Caenorhabditis elegans: one gene and its partner. The protein of the gene in region 1 interacts with the protein of each later gene in a pairwise test. Each region holds a gene or a part of one and is shown on either strand. Other genes may lie near its edges. The genes, in order: pgph-3 and ldp-1.

What was found.
Region 2: the proteins of pgph-3 (region 1) and ldp-1 interact in a two-hybrid assay, tested with the Caenorhabditis elegans proteins (one large-scale study listed by BioGRID).

The regions. Positions count from the first base shown.
Region 1 is NC_003283.11:5,761,707-5,765,549, forward strand, and holds pgph-3 (Phosphoglycolate phosphatase), read right to left. Parts: upstream 2,141-3,843; 5' UTR 2,088-2,140; coding exon 1,895-2,087; intron 1,845-1,894; coding exon 1,172-1,844; intron 1,121-1,171; coding exon 937-1,120; 3' UTR 788-936; downstream 1-787.
Region 2 is NC_003283.11:2,125,730-2,130,669, reverse strand, and holds ldp-1 (Lipid droplet localized protein), read right to left. Parts: upstream 3,136-4,940; 5' UTR 3,135-3,135; coding exon 2,969-3,134; intron 2,925-2,968; coding exon 2,818-2,924; intron 2,772-2,817; coding exon 2,351-2,771; intron 1,468-2,350; coding exon 987-1,467; intron 910-986; coding exon 804-909; 3' UTR 570-803; downstream 1-569. Other genes in the region: F22F7.2 (Saccharopine dehydrogenase NADP binding domain-containing protein), read right to left, coding at 3,646-3,751, 4,070-4,284.

The DNA of each region.
Region 1 (3,843 bases):
TTTTGTTGATGACTGCCTTTGAACCGTTTCTATTATCGAAAAAATACGATCGCACAAATTTCTCATAATTAATTTTTGATCTACTCTTGGAACTTGACTCCGCGCCTAATCTTGTTGCCATTGTTATTTTGTTGTGGCTGTCTTGTCGAAGGAAGGGAAGCAGTCTAGTCAACAAGGTAGATCAAAAGTTGACCATCTAAATGCAAAATTAGTAGATTTTCCAATTTAGAAAAATTTATATCTGGCTTCAAACTAACTATTACAAAAATCCCTGCAGCCATTATGTTGTCAATTTCATGTTCTTTCAGAATTTGAAAACAAAATTCAAAAAAGTTTCATATCCGCTGAGTTCAAGCAGAAAAAGTCGATACTGATTCTGCATTCAAATTCTCTATTAGTGCGGCATGCCGCACTAATTTCCGGGCCCATTGTAACTTGCGCACTATTAGAGACTGCCGGACTACTGGAGACTGCCGTACTAATTTTCGATAACTAATTTTCATTTTGAGGTTACTACTTTCGAGAGTAGTAAACTAAAAATTCCCTCATAAAACCTCATATTTTATGTGAAAATTAATGAAAATTGTGCACTTTGCCCCCAAAGACACTGAAATGCAATGTTTAAGTGAAAGTTTATGAGAAATTATTGAAGAATGAACAAGGATACCATTGGAGTAATCGAATATTTGAGGTGGCTTTTGCAACCAAAAAGAAGGGGTTTTCGAAAGGGCAGTAGGGGTGCCGCACTAATAGAGATGCCGCACTATTAGAGATGCCGCACTAATAGAGAATATACGGTAGTCGGTTTTAGCCTAACCTATCAATCTCAATACTTATTTTTAATTTTATTCATGTTTACAATTCAATACAAATAAAAATTGAAAATGTCATGTCGAAAATACAAATACTCGTAATAGTTATCATGAATGAATGTAACTAATAATAAATTTGATTCGACTCCGGAACAAGAGCTCCAAGGTAAGGTGCAACATAATCAGGAACCATATCATCTCTTTCGTTCATTTGATTTTCAATGATATCTTCAATTTGATGACATCCAGATAAAACTAACAAAGTCTTCATTCCGTGATCTCTTCCGAATTTGACATCTGTGTTGGTTCTGAAATAATTCAAAAATTAAATTTAAAAGTTGAATAGAAATTAGATTTACCTGTCTCCAATCATCATTGTTCTTGATGGATTGATATTCCATTTTCTTTTAATATAATTAAATGCTGGAGTACATGGTTTTCCAACAGTCAATGGATCTCTTCCAGATGCACATTTGATTGCTGCAACAATTGGTCCAGCATCAGGAATAACAACTTCTGGATTTGGTCCTGGACATGTTTCATCTTCATTTGTTGCAACAAACAGAACACCTTCTTCTCTTAAATAATTTGAAGCCTTCATCATTTTGACATAATCGAAATGTTTTTCGTATCCAACAACGACTGCTCCAACATTTTCTTCCAATTTAATATCATACATGAATGCACCAGATCCGTCGGCTTCATCTTGTTTCTTTTCTGGTCCATGTCCAAAATATTCAATGCCTAATTCATCCATTTCATCACGAAGTCCTTGTTCTCCTATCAAATAAACTCGTTTTCCATCTAATCCAGCTCTGTGCAAAGTATCAGCAACAACTGCAGCTGGATTCACCAAATTGTTCTTGTTCATTTTTGAAGAGTTGTATCCCAGTTTTGCAAGCTTCTTTGCATAAACTGCACGAGATTTGGTGGCATTATTGGTGAGCACAATGATTTGTTTGTTGTGTTTCACAAGATAATCGATCAGACGAGGAGATCCTGGCATCACTGATTCACCGAGCCAAAGTACACCTGAAAGAATTTGTAATTAAGATTTGTTCTAGATATTCTAGAAAACTAACCATCAGCGTCGAAGATGAATGTGTCAATTGTCTTCATGACCTTGGAAAACGATTTCGGGTCAAGTGGAAGAGTAGATCTGCAGTTTGGATCAAGTCCAGAATGAATACGAGATTCTAGGAACATTTTTGGATTTTCATTTTCAGAATCAGATTCGACTGGGGTTGGAAGTGGGGAACTGATCTTCAGCTTCATTTTGAGTTTTCAAATGTAATTTCAGTTTGCAAATATAAACCAGCAAGTGATACTTTTCGATCCACTCTCGATACCTTTTATACCCGTGAATCTGTTGTGATAGCATCTGGTGGGCGGAGTCTGGCGATCAGAGCAGAAAACGAAACCGAAAGGACATTGAGACGTCATTCACCAATAAAGTTTCTGATAGCGAGAGAGTGCAGAGAAATTAGAGGAACAGATTTTCTCTGGGTCTCTTCGTGTGAAAACACTAAAAATAGATAGTGAAGAACACTTTAAAGATGTTCACGTGAACATTGAACAAAAAAGAGGGTGTCCCCCAAGTGTTCGTTGTGAATTAAGTGTAATACTTGTTTGTGGTTTTTTGAAACAAGATTGGAAGATCGTGAAAGCAAAATACAAACTAACTATAAATTAAATAAAACGTTTATAGTTGAGCAAGGAAATTGGATAAGAACATCAAAGTTCACTGAATGAATGGGGTCAAATTTCAACTAGGAAAGTTCAATAAAGGCTTTTCAATTATGCAGAGTACACGTGGAACACTTTGCAGTTTTGGTGGTTTGATGGCATTGAGAGGAAATTGTTCCTGGAATCTAAATGTATATTTTCAGAGCAATCTATTTTAAGCAAACTATTTTTCAGACAATTTTTAGCACATGATCTCATTAAACCTAGAAACGAACTGTCAACAGCTTGTGTCAACTCTGAGCTTCTCATTTCATAAAATTTATAATATTCCCAATTTGAGTTCGAGACACTCAAAATTAATAGAATTAAATAAATATTATCGTGTACTTTTTCAATTGTTTTTCTATTCCATTTTTGAATTCATTTGCAGAACTTTGTACCCAACTTTTCCATCTTTTTATACAATGTTAAATGTACTCAATCTTTTTAAGCCTATCATGTGAGTTGTGCTCTTTTGGATGAACAGTTGCTCAATGTTCGTCTGATCTCTGCGTCACATATTTGTGTGTAATGGGAATCGCAAAAGCTTATTGATTTTTATTGCTATTTTTGTGGATAAATGAACAAATGCACAATATGTACAAAATTTGGAAAAGTTGAATATCTAAAATTATTGATCCACATAACTGCGAAAAATTAAATTGGTTATAGAATATGTTAAGTGCAATTAGTACGGAAAGTGTAATGCGGTACAAAGTTCTTGTTTTCAAAACATGCAATTTTAATCGATCTTTTTCTCATGCATTCTCATTGTTCTACTTCCTTTCATGATTTTTTTCCTTGTAACTTTGTTTTCTTATTGTAATAAATATTAAGTAGATCAATTTGTTTTCTTGCTTTAATAATAAAATCAACAATCTTCAGATCATTCCAATCATTGCATTCAATGCGTTCATCGACACCTCGCAGCTTTACGTTTTTGTTCAAAGATCTCTTGCAGGTGGGCTCTTTTGTGTTATCAGTGTAATCAATTCGTACTACTTTTCCACACAAACAAAACAACTTTTGAAAATCGAACAGTGACGAGTGGGCAAAGTATTCCCGTGATAGTACAGTCTGTAAAATACATTTGTAGTACTTCTTATCACTATTAATATAATTTGTAATAGGAGGAAACTGAAAACATGTTTGAAAGTGAACCGCTTAGGAGTGGTCGCAGTGATTTTTGGAATGAAAGTTCTGAAACGTTTTAGAGATTTAGTAGTCTATTGTTGAATGCATTTTTCATTAAACTTTTATTTTCCTGAAAAAGTTATGGGTAGATGACAAGATTAATACGGAACTT
Region 2 (4,940 bases), 3.6 Mb from region 1:
TGACGGAATTGAAAATTTCCGGCAAAGTCGTCAAATTGCCGGAATTGAAAATTTTCGGCAAACCTTCAAATTGCCGGAATTGAAAAATTCCGGCAAACCGGCAAACTGACGGAATTGAACATTTGCGGCAAATCGAGAAATTGGCAGAATTGCCGGAATTAAAAATTTCCGGCAAACCTTCAAATTGCCGGAATTGAAAAATTCCGGCAAACCGGCAAACTGAAGGAATTGAACATTTGCGGAAAGCCTTCAAATTGCCGGAATTGAAAATTTCCTGCAAATCGGCAAACCTAAATTTGAACCTACACTACTCTTAAAGGCGCAAACCTTTTTTATTTTTCAAAAATTTGTCGTGTCGAGACCGGGTACCGTATTTACGACCCAAAAATCACAATATTTCGCGCCTAAATAATATAATATCGTAACTCCATGAAATCTACCATATCCTTTAAAGGTGCATACCTATTTTTAAATGTTCTGAGCGTATTATACGTTCGCAAAAAATCCTTAAAATTAGTCAAACACCGATTTTTGAGCTCTAAATGACGTGTGTTGTTTGTTAACACTTGTTCGCGCGGGGGGACAAAACATTTACTACATGAAGAATAAATAAAAAACTTCACATGTTAACATTTTGATTCCACAAATAATAAGTGTTTTTCGATTCAAAAGTTCAAAGTGACGTGGATTAAACAGCATGCGTTTATAATAATAATAATAATGTAAAACCAGCAATTTTCGATTTGACACCTGGAATTTCTAAAACAACCCTAAAACAGAATATAAACAAGACAAGCATTAAATTAAAGATCATATTCAGATTCCAATTGATAAGTGATTCCGAATGATGCCAAATAATCGTAGATCTTGGAGTTTCCGAAAGCAGCAGCTGTGGTGTAGACGCCTCCACTGGAAAAATTAAGGAAATTATTTTTGAAAAAACAATTTTCAAAAAAATAATATTTTAAATTTCCCGCCAAACTCACTCCTTTGGCAAGTTGTCCTTATCTCTGATCAGGGTTAATGCGGCGGAAAGAACACAACCACTAGTGGCAATATATCCAGCATCTGGTCCCTTGCAAGTAGCCAACACTTTTCTATTGATTTTTCCCTCGTGTTGCTGATCCAGTGGAAGTGTTTCCTTGTATCCATATCCGAAGAACCAGTAGACGAACGAAGCTTCGGCCATTTGCCGGGCACTTGGTCCCGAATTCTTGAACATGTAGAAACTGCATTGATCAGGGTATTGTTGGAGGATTCGGCGGGTGAACGGGTATTTGACGAAGATCGAGAGGAACATGATCCAGAGTCCGATGAGATATCCGTAGAATTGGGATGAGAGGCGGATGTAGGTTTCCATGTGGATTGGACGGACTTGGCGGGATGTTGCGTCGTAGTATTGTGAGCGGTTGATGATGGATTTGTCGGCTCCTGGGAATGGAACAGCGACACCGTTGAGCTCCTTTTCTGAAAAAAAAAAATTTAATCAGGAACAATAAAAAGTAGATTTGGATCAGGGGAGGGCGGCAAAATTCGGCAATTTGCCGGTTTGCCGATTTGCCGGAAATTTTAATTTTCGCCAATTTGCCGGAAGTTTTCAATTCCGGTGATTTGCCGATTTGCTGGAAATTTTTTATTCCGGCAATTTGCCTATTTATCAGAAATTTTCAATTCCGGCAATTTGCCGGTTTCCCAATTTGCCGCAAATTTTCAATTCCGGCAATATGCCTATTTATCGGAAATTTTCAATTCCGGAAATTATTGCCGATTTTCCGGAAATTTTCAATTCCGGCAATTTGAAGGTTTGCCGGAAATTTTCAATTCCAGCAATTTGCCGGTTTCCCGATTTGCCGGAAATTTTCAATTCCGGCAATTTGCCTATTTATCGGAAATTTTCAACTGCGGCAATTCGCTGGAAGCTTTAATTCCGGCAATTTGCCGATTTGCTGGAAATTTTAAATTCCGGCGATTTGCAGATTTGCCAGAAATTTCAATTTCAGAAAATGAAAAAAAAAACATTCATTTTAGCTGAAAAATTGAGAAAATGCTCAAAAATGGCTTTTTCGACTATTTTGTGCACTTTCCCAATTGTTTCAGCTCGAAAAAATTTTATTTTCAGACAAATCGAGCCATTTTTTATACTTTGACACTAATTTTCATTAAATGTCATTAAAAATTAATGTCAAAGTATAGGAAATCGCTCGATTTGTCTGAAAATAGCATTTATTCCAGCTGAAACACTTGGGAACGGGCGCAAAAATGATCTGAAATATTGTTTTTAGCAAATTTCAGGTCATTTTCGGGCATTTTCTCGAATTTTTCAGTTCCATTGCTCCTTTCCTCCACGAACCCTTAATCTCCCAGAGAGTCGGTCTCTTCGGAAGCTTCACAGCTCCTCTGACAATCTTTTCCGGCATAATCTCTTTTCTGACAGCTCCAAGCTTATCAGTGGCTGCTCCAGACAGTCCAAGAATCAAAGTTTGATAGGTTCCAGCATTGAACGAGTATCCGGATGGTCCAGTGAGCAGTTGAACGAATGATTCCACGTGGTTCAGGTCTCCATGGAAGTTTTTCTTCAAGAAATTGACTCCCAAATCAGCTGGAATCGAGTCCCATCCACACGCGGACACCACGTAGACTCCTTGCTCTTTGGCTTGTTTCGAATATTTCTGTTGCATCTTCTCAATCCACGCTGGCTCTCCAGAGATATCCACGTGGCTTGCTCCGTTTTCGACGGCCGCTTTCACGACGGCTTCTCCGTACAGGCGGTACTGAAAATTTGAAGGTTTCAGGGAATTTAAATCTTTAATTTCTTACAGGTCCAACTGCATTGATAACGACATTTGCCTGCCTCGCCATCTCGTTCAAAGAACGCTCATCTGCAGAATCGGCGACGATAACGGCGGCGTTGCTCACATCTTTTCCTGGAAAAAAGCTCGAAATGTTATTTTACGGTTAAAATTCCTACCAGTTTTTTGGCTGATATTTCTGAGAACCTCTCTGAGCTTCTTCTCGCTTCTTCCGGCGACAGCAAACGAAAGCCCCTCGAATTGTTCAGAATTTACCAAATATTCGACAACATAGGCTCCAGTGAAGCCAGACGCTCCGTAGACAACAACGTCGTAGCGGCTCATACTGGAATTTGGATTTTTTTTAAGTTTTAGAGAACTTTACAAGAAAATTGAAGAGAAAAAGCGGCGAAATGGAGTAAAACGATGTTGCAGGGCGTTTTTATCGAGTTTCAGCGAGTAAAAATATGTGTTATCAGGTTGAACACCTCATTTCGTGTGGTGGTGCGATTCCATGTGAATTTCATGGGTGAACTGTGGTCGGACAATGATCAGAAATAATGAAAAAAACTGCAAAAAACTGATTTTTTAGAGGAAAATTGGTGAATTTTACGAAGAAAACCGCTTGTTCACGTGAAGTACACGGCCGGGAGGACTAGCATTGCAGCCACAATTTCTAGGCCATTCACAGGAGTTTTAGCGGGAAACTCTAAAATTCAAATAAAAACTCGATTTATAGAACAATTTTACAAGAATAGAAACACATTTCGAATGAAATATAAAGAAGAAACAAACACCATTCGAAAATGCCGAATGACCCGATGAAATAACCTTGAAATCGCCCAAAACAACGTGTTTACAACTTTGAAGGCATCTCAATGTCGAACTTGATTCCGAAATCAAGCAAAAAATCGATAAGTCTAGTGTTCTCGAATGCATACGCTGTTGTGTAGACTCCGCCGCTGAAATGCAGAGTAAATAAGGGGAAATTCGCGGCAAAAACCATCGAAAATTGGCTACGATCTAGCGTGTTGCACTTTGTATTGCAGGTCTAGAAAAAAAGAAACAAGTAAGATGGGAAAATGTGAGAGAGAGAGACAGAGGTCAAAAACAGGAGACAATGGATCAAAACAGTTGTTCGACCTTTTATTGCCCAGATCTCTCTGCGTCTCTTTGCCGCATGCTCTCTCGCTGCCGCTGCGAGACCAATTTTTGACGTCTACGTAATAACAACACAGTGATTTTTGAAACAAAAAATGAAGAGAACAAATTTGACCTACCTTTTGGGCAACTTTTCCTTCTCTTTCAGAAATACCAATACCGAGGACAAAACACATCCACTTGTCGCAATATAGCCAACATCTGGACCTGTGCATGTTACGAGAAGCTTCTTCTTGGGTTCCCGGTCACGTGGATCTCCTCTACCGTAACCATAACCGTAGAATTGATAGGTGAATGTTGCTTCTTTCATCTGCTCTTCACTGGGCCCTGATTTCTGAAAAAAGAAGCAACATTTTAAATTAATGGCCTAGTTTTTCTAAAACTCATGGCCTAGTTACTTTGTAAAGTTGATGGCCTATTTTCTCATTTTCGTGCACTAGTTTTTTTTTAATTCCTGACCAAGTTGTTCTCGAATTCATGGTCTAGTTGTTTCGCATGCATGGCCTAGTGTTATTACAAATTCATGGCCTTTTTTAATTCATGACCTAGATTTTTTTGAATTCATGGCCTACTTTGTTCTAAATTTATGGCTTAGTTTTCTAATTAGTGGCCAGGTTTTTGAAATTCATGACCCATTTTTTTAATAAAATTCACGGCCTAGTCTTTCTAAAACTCATGGCCTAATTTTTTCAAATGCATCACCTAGTTTTTCCAACTTCATGGCCTATTTTTTTCTGAAATTCACGGCCTAGTTTTTATAAACTCATGGTCTAGTTTTTTTTCATGCATGGCCTAGTTTTAATACAAGTTCATGGCTAGTTTTACTGAAATACACGACCTACTTATTTCTAATGTATAGCCTAGTTTATTTTTTAATTCATGGCCTAGCTTTTTTCTTGAATTCCTGACCTAATTTATTTCAAATTCATAGCCTAGTTTTTTCCAATGTTTTCAATGGCCTAGTTTTCTTTCTTTTCCAATTTTCAGAAC